Linked DNA regions of Xenopus tropicalis. The protein of the gene in region 1 purifies or fractionates together with the protein of each later gene. This does not show direct contact. Links are inferred from orthologs where the notes say so. Each region holds a gene or a part of one and is shown on either strand. Other genes may lie near its edges.

The links. Proteins that work in one complex are often made in the same cells at the same time.
Region 2: the proteins of tnrc6a (region 1) and cnot7 purify together in Homo sapiens (affinity purification with western blotting; 3 studies listed by BioGRID and IntAct, with this or other methods). This does not show direct contact. The link is inferred for Xenopus tropicalis from reciprocal best matches to the Homo sapiens genes TNRC6A and CNOT7.

What each region holds. Positions count from the first base shown.
Region 1 is NC_030685.2:20,137,947-20,142,805, reverse strand, and holds part of tnrc6a (trinucleotide repeat-containing gene 6A protein), read right to left. Parts: intron 2,579-4,859; coding exon 26-2,578; intron 1-25.
Region 2 is NC_030677.2:42,291,954-42,296,812, forward strand, and holds the end of cnot7 (CCR4-NOT transcription complex subunit 7), read right to left. Parts: intron 3,837-4,859; coding exon 3,692-3,836; intron 3,435-3,691; coding exon 3,324-3,434; intron 2,759-3,323; coding exon 2,630-2,758; 3' UTR 1,266-2,629; downstream 1-1,265. UniProt on the Homo sapiens protein: Has 3'-5' poly(A) exoribonuclease activity for synthetic poly(A) RNA substrate. Its function seems to be partially redundant with that of CNOT8.

The DNA.
Region 1 (4,859 bases):
AGATATTAAAATAAATAAATCTTACCAGAGCTGTTGCTGTTGCTGCTGCTGCTTTCCTTATTTGGCATAGTACTTGAAGTTGGGGGCAATGCATAAACCTGGCCTTGGTGTTCCTCAGCACTCATGTTTTTAGATGTATTTTTATCCCACATGTTCACATTCTTGAATTTGTATTGGTTGGGATCACCCCAGGCTGCAGTCCCATCATCAATTTCCATTTTGCGCCGTACGGATTCTGGTGATGGCTCTTGCCAACCAGTTGGCTCATCTTCCTTTGTTGGAGTTGACAGTGATCCACCCGACCACCCAGAAGACTTATTGGTGGCTGGCTGTGCCCCCCATGACCCACTTTCTTGCTTTTTGTTCCATTCTGCAGAGCTTGCTTGCAGATGTTCGCTCTCCATGTGGTTCGGGCCACATTTGGAAACATCCCCATTCCCCTGGTTAGGCTTTTTTGGCTCACCCCACCCTTGAGCTGAAGTTGACTTGGAGGGTTCAGCCCAGCTTGATGCATTATTTTGATTTCCGCTTCCCCAGGAGTTGGAACGACTAGGCTCACTCCAACCAGATACAGATCTCTCGCTGTCGCTGCTAGAACTTGACTTTGCTGTTCCCCAGTGATTACTCTTTGAATTCTCTCCCCAGCTGTCACCACTGTGTGACCCCCACCCCTGTTTGACCTTTTGTGCATCATTCCAATTGGATTTGTCCTCTTTATTATTCCCCCATGATTGATTGCTCTTGACCATTCCAGTAGTAGCAGCAAATTGATCTTCCCATTCCCCTTGGCTTACTGCGCCTTTGGCATCACCCCACCCTGTAGCAGACTTTGGATCTCCCCACCCAGATACTGATGAGGTATCATTGCTGTTAGGGTTGGGCTTATCCACCCATCCCCCTGAGTTAGAAGTCTTTGATACAGAGCATCCCCAAGCTTCTGTTCCATTGTCAGTTTTTCTGTTGCTCAGAGACGAAGCAGCATCAGTGTCCCAGGCAGTGTTCTGTTTAATTGGAATCTGTCCCCAGCCAGTGTTGCACAAGACCCGTGGATCTAGGTCGCCTTTATTTACAATACTTTGGAGTAAAGTTTGCTGGTCCGTCTTCCTTATTTCCTGAAGCCCGTGTCCGGTCCCATATTCACTCTGACTTCCAGTGCTGTCTACACTACCTTCACTTTCCCCCGTACCTGTAGTTTTGGCCCATACATTTGCCTCAATGCCTTTGGATCCTGCTGAAATTTGCCCTGCATTCTCTTCCTCAGCAGACTTCCACGTATTTGACGTTTTCCTACCATTTTCTTTGTTTTCCCCCTCATTGGAATGCTGATTGTTAGGCAATTTGTTCCAACCACCATTTGAAAGATTAGTGCCAGTGTTTTGTGCTGCGTTTCCCCATCCTCGTTGACTTCCACCAGAAGTTCCTGCATTTCCACTTCCCCAATGCATATTTTGGGAGTTTACAGTCCCTGACTCCCACAATCCTCCTTTATTCCCGTTTATTTTATTGTTTGGGCCATTGGGCCCATATAGGCCTGGCTGCATTATAGTCGCATTCACAGTGTCACCATTAGCTTGCCCTTTAGGGACTGAAATCTTATCTCCAGAATAAGAGGAGCCGGAAGTACCCCATGTAGTACCGTATGATCCGCTGTTTTTTTCCTCACCGTTACTTAGGTGAGGAATGGAAGTGCCATTTGTAACTGAAGGGGTGTGAAGAGGAGAATGATTCATATTGCTCACACTCCAAGCCCCATGCCCTGTAGAATTAGGGAGTTCATTTGTCTGCAATAAGCCAGCAGAGTTTGGTAAACTAGAGGTCATAAAGTTAGTAGTGTTATTTGGTCCAGTCATTTCAGTGTTAAGGTTTTGAGGTCGCCCACTAAAAGAAGCCTTCCGTGTTCCACTGAGTTCAGGATCCCCATTCTCCTGAAGATTTCCCCAGGAGCCAGGGGCTGAGCTGCCCATTTTAGGGTTAATACTCCGATTGTTAGACACCTGACCTATAGTACTGCTTGGAACATTTGTGCCAGAATTATTTGACCCTTTAAGGGCATGTCCATTGCTATCCAAAATGGGCCAGGCACCATGGTTGCCATTCATATTCAAAGTGCTTGGATTTAGAACTCCGTTCACTGAAGTATTCACGGTGCCCCAAGCATTAATCCTGTTGTGCCTACTATCTGAATTGCTATCGGGGCCATCTTGACATGTGCTTATTACAGTTCCATGGGTCACGGCCCACGGCCCATTAATACTTCCATTGCCTGCATTATTGCTGTTGTTGCCAACCAAAAGTTTGCTCTGAGAACTATGTCCAATGCCATTTCTCATAGTATCCATTTCCTCTGTGGTATCCCCAAACGGCACTAGGTGGCTCTTTCCTGCCCCAGAGCTGGGGGAAGAGTCAATATCCATACATTCTGAGGTCAACTCGGAGCTAGTGCCTGTGATCGATGGCCACACTTTTTCTGTGCCGTCTACAATGACTTTTTCCCAGGTAGTGCTAGAATCACCATTGGAAGAGACCGGCCCCCAGTGGGTGTTTTCATAGTGAGAGCCTAGGCTACCATGATTGAGCTCTAAGGGAAGAAGGGGAAAAAAATATTAGATCTTTGTTTAAAACTGCTGAATGTATTTTAAATATTAGTCAATGTTAACATTTTTCAAATTAATAAAGATACCCAGCCACCAAAGAGCTCAAGATTTAAGGGACAATGAGACCAAAATAAAAGCAGTAAATTAGAAACAAGGCAAACACAAATTTTGCCCTAGCAGCTGCAAACAGTATGACAACATTTTTCAAAATATGAAACCCATATATTTACATTTATATACTGTCAAGACATTTTGGTTCAGTCAACAGGGATTAAATATATGCTGTGTAAAGCAACCTAGAGAAGCCACCAGGAGCTCCTTATACAGCAGATCTTGGGGGCAAACAAATCAACCTGTAGTCTGTTCTCACTAGCCTGTATAACTGCAAGGGTAAGCTTCTGACCCCTGTAATCATTAAACCGTTTGATTGGCTTGCTTGACAGGAAATGGAAAAACTTCTCGCACCATTGCCAACAGTCTTATCCATTGTAAAGGTGAGCAGCATTTCAGTGTTATGGAAGTATATAAAATATTCCTCAGAAACAAAGCTACATTGCAGAGCTATGCAAGATGACTGAAAAGAAAGGGCTAGTTATTTCAGGGGAAACCTGAAGGATTTGGGATTCAGTCGATCACAAAGATTATGGATTTGGTGCATCCTTAGAAGAACTAAAACTAAGACAAAAAAAATGAAGTAGGCCAAGAATGCTGCACATTATAATTTAAGATTTGGTACCAGCCCAAGGCTACCAAAGTCCTTTAGCAGGGGAGATCTGTGTCTCCATATTAGGGATGCAGCAAATCCAGGATTCGGCCAAGATTCGGCCTTGTTTGTCAGGATTCGAATTTGACCGAATCCATGGTCCTGAGCAAACCGAATACGAATTTTAAAAATCACGTGACTTTTTGTCACGTAAATTTTTCCAAAATTTTCAGACATTTAACCCTTCTAAAACCTAATTAGCATGCTAATAAGCATTTGATGCGGTATTCTGCCGAATACTTTACAAAGGATTCAGCGGTTGGCCAAATCCAAAACAGTGGATTCGGTGCATCCCTACTCTATATATGCCCCCAGGAGCTCCCTATATTATTTCCCCATGTTCTGTGATGCGGTTACATACAGTACCTGAACTTAGGGAACAACTTGCAGCTTAAATTATTGACTATACAAGTTACAAGACTGATAGCAATTTAATTGTCATTATATGGCAGCTCAGTGCAATTTGCACCAACTTTTAATAATCAGCCCTGTAGCGCCAGCATCTGTGACAGACGAACCTCATTTTCTGCTTAATGACCCCTAAGCTTATCTTCTCAGCAGCTGTCCCAAAGCACACTGAGCATGTGCAGTGCCACTGACACGCCTAACTACAGTGACCCCCTGTGCACAACTTTAAAGGCCTGGTTATTACTGTTAAGAGATTTTAAAACTTAAAATCCAGGCCTTTAGACTGAAGTATGAAGTTCAGTATATAAAACAACACTTCTATCCATATTTGTTTATAGGGCTTATTTCTCCTTTAAGTTATTGCAACTGCAATGAATAATGGTGGGCCCTGGGCAAATAGCCCTGTAGACAGCTAAAGCACTGAACAAACTGCACAATCACAATTTGGTTTTATCAATAAAACTAGCAGGTAAAGCTAGACAATATACATATAGTACAAGTAGAATGTGATTTTGTGCCATTAAAACCCGAGGCATTCTGACATATAAAAGCAGCGTTACCAAAACTGTGCAAAACCTCATGCAATTCTTAGCTCATGGGAAAAGCAGTCCTTAATCTTACTTTGACACAGGCAGTTTAAAAATCCCATTTTCTTGCTATACATGCTCAGTAAATCTGAGAAGGCAAACAAATACAACCTTAATACTCTGCAGGCAAGCATGCTTATTTAAAAACGGCTCCTAGCAACGGGTCTTCTAAATGCACTCATGCCGGCTATTCATGGGATTTAACAGAACACAAATTCCAACCGCACCAAATCATGGAGTAAAAATAAGCCACTTTTGTAAACAGCACCCGTTAGGCAAGAATCAGTGGGGATCGGGGCTGGAGTGCTGGAAGCAGTCTAAACTACAGATAAAACTTGAGCTCTGGCAAGGGGAAAACTAAAAATTTTTTTTAAATAAAATAAATACAGGTATGGAACTTTCAAGGCCTACAGTTTTGTGGATAAAGGGTCTTTCTGTAATGTGAACTCAAAGCCTTAAGACTAATGCCAGATGGGGCGGATTCTCTGCCTACGTTAATTAGTAGAG
Region 2 (4,859 bases), on another chromosome or scaffold:
AAGATGCTAATGCAGTATATCTATCAGTGCCTGGGATATCAGCAGATGTATGAAGCAAAGAGGAGCGGTCACTATTGTGTTTTTAAAGGTGATAAATAGGAGAGGGTTGTAACAGATAAGTAATAGCAATAAAACTGTAGCGTCACATAGTGTCATTGAGACAAAGACAAGAGCTCCTCTGCACTCATGTAAAAAAAAATATATACATATATAGGACATTAAGACATTCTGTACATTAAGCTACTAAGAACTGTCCTCCCCTTTAAAGGAACAGTTCAGTAAAAATATGAAAAATGAAACTGTAAAATGGATAGACTGCGCAAAATAAAAATATTTGTAATATACCGACATCTGTTCACGCCAGCCTTTATAGATTACATTTTGACTAACTAACTATATTGAAAACATTTTTTATTTTGCGCAGTCTGTCTGTTTTACCCAGTTTCATTTTTACACTGAACTGTTCCTTTAAACAAAACAGGGATTGTTTGCTCATATATTGCAACATATTCAAGCTGGCCAACTACATCAAAGTCATCCCTGGTCTGGCCTATCCTACATTCACTTTAACCTAATTCATTAAGTCTTAATGAATGTATAACTGTATAGATTATATTATACATTTTCCACAGGGATAGTTTTACTTCTGCTTTGTAAAAATATGAGTTTAGTTGAATTACAGGAAACAGAAATTTGAGAACTCTGCCACTTAATATAATAATAATGGGCAATTGCAGAGGCTGGGCCATATTTAAAAATTTAGTGCCCCTAAGTGTTGTAAATTATGTACAGGAAATAAGCTAAACATTTATGCATAGGTGAACTACAGTATACCTAAAATAAAAAAAAGACCATGGGCAAGACATGGCAAAATGATCACTACAGGACAACTAGTTGGGCCTTGACGTGCTCAGGATAATTTACTTCTTAGTTGGCTAGTTAACTAACCTCTGATTGGAGGAGTGCTTCTATAATCAGCACGGAATATGTCAGTAACAGCGATATGAAGATAAAGCACCCTACAAAACCTTTTCTTGTGCACATTGCTCATTAGCCACCTACCAGCAATCATCACTAGAAGCCACAAGGGTTGAACAAAGCTGAAAAGGGACAGGGGAACCCAAACATTGCTGTGCAGATAGCTGTAAGGTGCCATTACTTGTAAACAAAGGTGGTCTTATTTGATTCAACACTAAGGAACTTTTATGGCTTCTATTTCATAAAGAGTCAATAACAGGATATCAATAGCCTTCAAAAAAAAATAATAATTTTTTAAGCCTTTATTTACAAAAGCTCTAAAAACAAATAATATCCTTTGTTTGCAAATTGTTTTTCTTATGCATTAAAAAGGACCACTCTTGTTACACAATTGTAACTCATTTGGAAAGAAAATAAAGCCATTACAAAGGTAGAAAGGCAGGTGTATCTGAACGAGAGACTTGCTGGTTTCTTACATGTCAGTGTGATGATACAATCCACACATTTGCTGTCTGGGAAACACTGGTGAGCCATTGCCAAAAAAAACTATTCTACAATTTCTCTAGTTACCATCCAGTGACAGATAGGAAAGTACTCCACAGTCTACACAGACAATATATATATATAAAAATATATTGCAAAAATATTGCCAAAAAAGTTATCTAGTATTACACTACAGCTGCAACATTGTTCAGCTATGACTTCAAATAGGTTTTTGTTGTTACAACAAATAATTACACGTCATTTTTGCAAATACAAAATATTGTATATTCCTTCGCCTAATCCAATCCAAATTAATTCCTGACTTTCTGTTGTTGTTGGTTCCTCTTGTATCTTTTTTGTGTCTCTGTTTATTTTTGCATGAGGCTTTTTTTCCAGCAATGAAATTTTGACTTTTGCAAAATGAAGCACCCAATAAATAGGATTAAAAAAAAAAAAAAAAAAGATGACCTGGGCAAACACAAACAAGATAAATGTGTTAATCACGTCAAGCTGAAGCATAAACATATGATGTTTAGGTTTACAAACAGCAGAACTGGGTCAGGGATATGGAAGCTTGTAACAAAGAACAAATCGGCAGTTATCCAGTGGGTTAGTATTTCATGTGCTTTTGGCTGGAGAGGCACAAATCTATGTGCACCGGCAAGTGAATGCCACGTACAGGTTACTCAGTGGTTATCAGTGCATAGGTACACCAATGTACAGATGCTCAAACTGATGCATATATATATATGGATAGAGTCTTTTCTGAATTTAAAGAGACAAATAACCCAAGGCTAAAGTACTAATCATTGGATGGCAATAGTTGCATATTGCTGATAGTTTCTGCTTTGGAAGCATGAGGATGATTGTTGTGAAAGGTAAGAAAATAAGGCAAACCATCTTGCACCAAATGATGACGCATTACTGTGTGATGTGACAGGATGCTGTTATCGGTGCCATGCTGCCAGCTGATATCTAGGTAAGGCAAATAGGAGTTAGAGACACAGATCTCCCCAAGGCCAAGTGGTTCCACATTGATACAAGAATGAAGGCAGAACAACTGTGTGCAGGGAGATGGGGGAAATTCAGTGTCCAAGGAATATCACCAGAGATAAAACATGTACAAATTTCTGTAGTTTGGCAATAAAAAGTGCAGTTTCTCTTGGTGTCATGATTGTTTATTGGCTTCCTCTTCATATGCATTTCCTGTACCATTCTGTACATAAGACGATCCGGATCCCAGACCATATAAATGGCCACAGTATTTTGCATCATCTATGTGATCTTCAAAGAACATCTGAAAATGAACATAAACACACAAAAATACCACTGGTCAGAAGCGATTGGCTAAAAAACGACATACAGTAGTATTAACACTGAAACAACACATCCAGGCAGTTTACCCTGAAAAACATACCTACAGCAAGTAGTAATTCAAAGATACTTACAACCACTTGAGTATATAAGTAACATGTCTGCATGCCCCCCTAACTACTAGTGCTACACATTCTCTGACTGGCCAACTGATTGATCACAATAGGTTCTGGACATGTCAGAGGCATCTAAAAGAATGCACAATTTTATGGGCTGAACTAGGCATCTCACACACATGCATCTAAAGTCACCCAGGAGCAGGTAAACCCCAGACCCCTGCCAAGGCGCAAGCTGCCTGCAGGGACAGGAAATATCAGGGGCCAAACCACTACATATAAAGGGGATCATGCAGGGTTGATTTAAGGAATAGGGGCTTCCAAGCTATTTTGCTAGTGGTTTCTTTATGTTGGCATTAGCTACTACTCTAATATTTCCTTCCCAACTTCAAAATTACCACATACAAGCATATCAATAACATGTGAACTTACCTCTCTCATTTTAAAGAATGCCATTCCAGTAAGTAATGAGTCAGAGCCTGCTTGATGCTGAGGACCAATACGCTTGAGTTCCAGCTGCTCTGCCACTTCCTGCAATCCACCCTGCCAGGAGACAATGGGAAAGTTTTACAGAATACAACCCAAATACCATGTCCCTCTATTAATTCTTGTAGTGGAATCCAAAAATGATGGATTTGATTCATCTCTATCTACGACACAATGGCTGCTGGTCTGCTGTAGAAACCAAAACCAAAACCAAACTAATGAGTAATATTTAGCTAAAAGAATTTTAGAAGAAAAGTACCCAGATTTCCACCATGGTTTACAAAATAAGGCCAGTGCATTTTAGTCTCACCCACCTTGAGATTTTTGCAGCTTTTCATCAGGTATTTGACATCGTATATCACTGGGAAAAACAGGCGCAGGATTTCAAAAAAGTCTAGTTCTACCTCAGGCAGGTTTGAATTTGTCAGAATTTTTATTAGGTAGCCAAAGTCATAGCCACTGCAATGGGAAGGGGTACAGAAAAGATCAGGAAAAAAGGAACACATTTACAGTCACAGACAAGTTTGGCTTATGTGTATTAATGCATGTATGCTTTTAATCATCAGATGTCCCTTTTTAAATTCTACATAGGCAAATAACATTTGCAGTACCAGTCATGGAACTCCAAAGTGACTTTATTTTAGAACAGGGGGTACATTGTTTATTATATTTATAGTGAGTCATGTGACAGAAATTACAACAATTATAACTGCTATAATCAATTATAAGGATATAATTCACTGGGAATTCATGGCTCTTGCGTATTATATCAAGATAATGTTGATAATATTATTAAATGTTCAGCCTAGCTCATTACAAACATACAGTGCAATGTGACATAACACATTATGAATAGAGGGCATTGCTCTATAGTAGAAAGGGTAAGCAACTATGGTAAAACAATGACCTGACAAAGACCGTCTCATTGTTCTGATTGCACAGAGTGCGCCAAATCCTGTGTAGAAAAGAACAACACTGCAATAAAAGAACTGCTGAGGAAAGCAGCAGACTAAAAAAATACAGGATCTCTAGTGGAAACTTCCAGAATAGAGATGATGCTTCCCAACATAATTTACTGGAGGAAGAGCATTGCTTCTCTTGCTTGTATTGAGATGACAGAGGTATACTTGGATAGAATAGCCCTCTAGTAAATTGTAACAAGAAGAAATCACATGGCAATGTAAAGGTTCATTGCCAAAAGCAGAGTGCTTTTAAACATGGAACTGCCAGGTGATTTCTAATATCCTCATATTATACATAGTCATATAGTTGAATGCAAAAGTTTAGGCACCCCTTGCCAAATGACATTTAGTTAGGCAGTGTGTTAAAAGACAACATATATGCAAATGTTGACACATAGTTCCATTACATTTCACTTTAAAAACATAGGAACACAGGAAGTTTGGACACACACACACACACACACACACACGCGTTGTTCAAAGGTTAATAGTAAGGCAGCAGCATCCCCTTAATCACTTA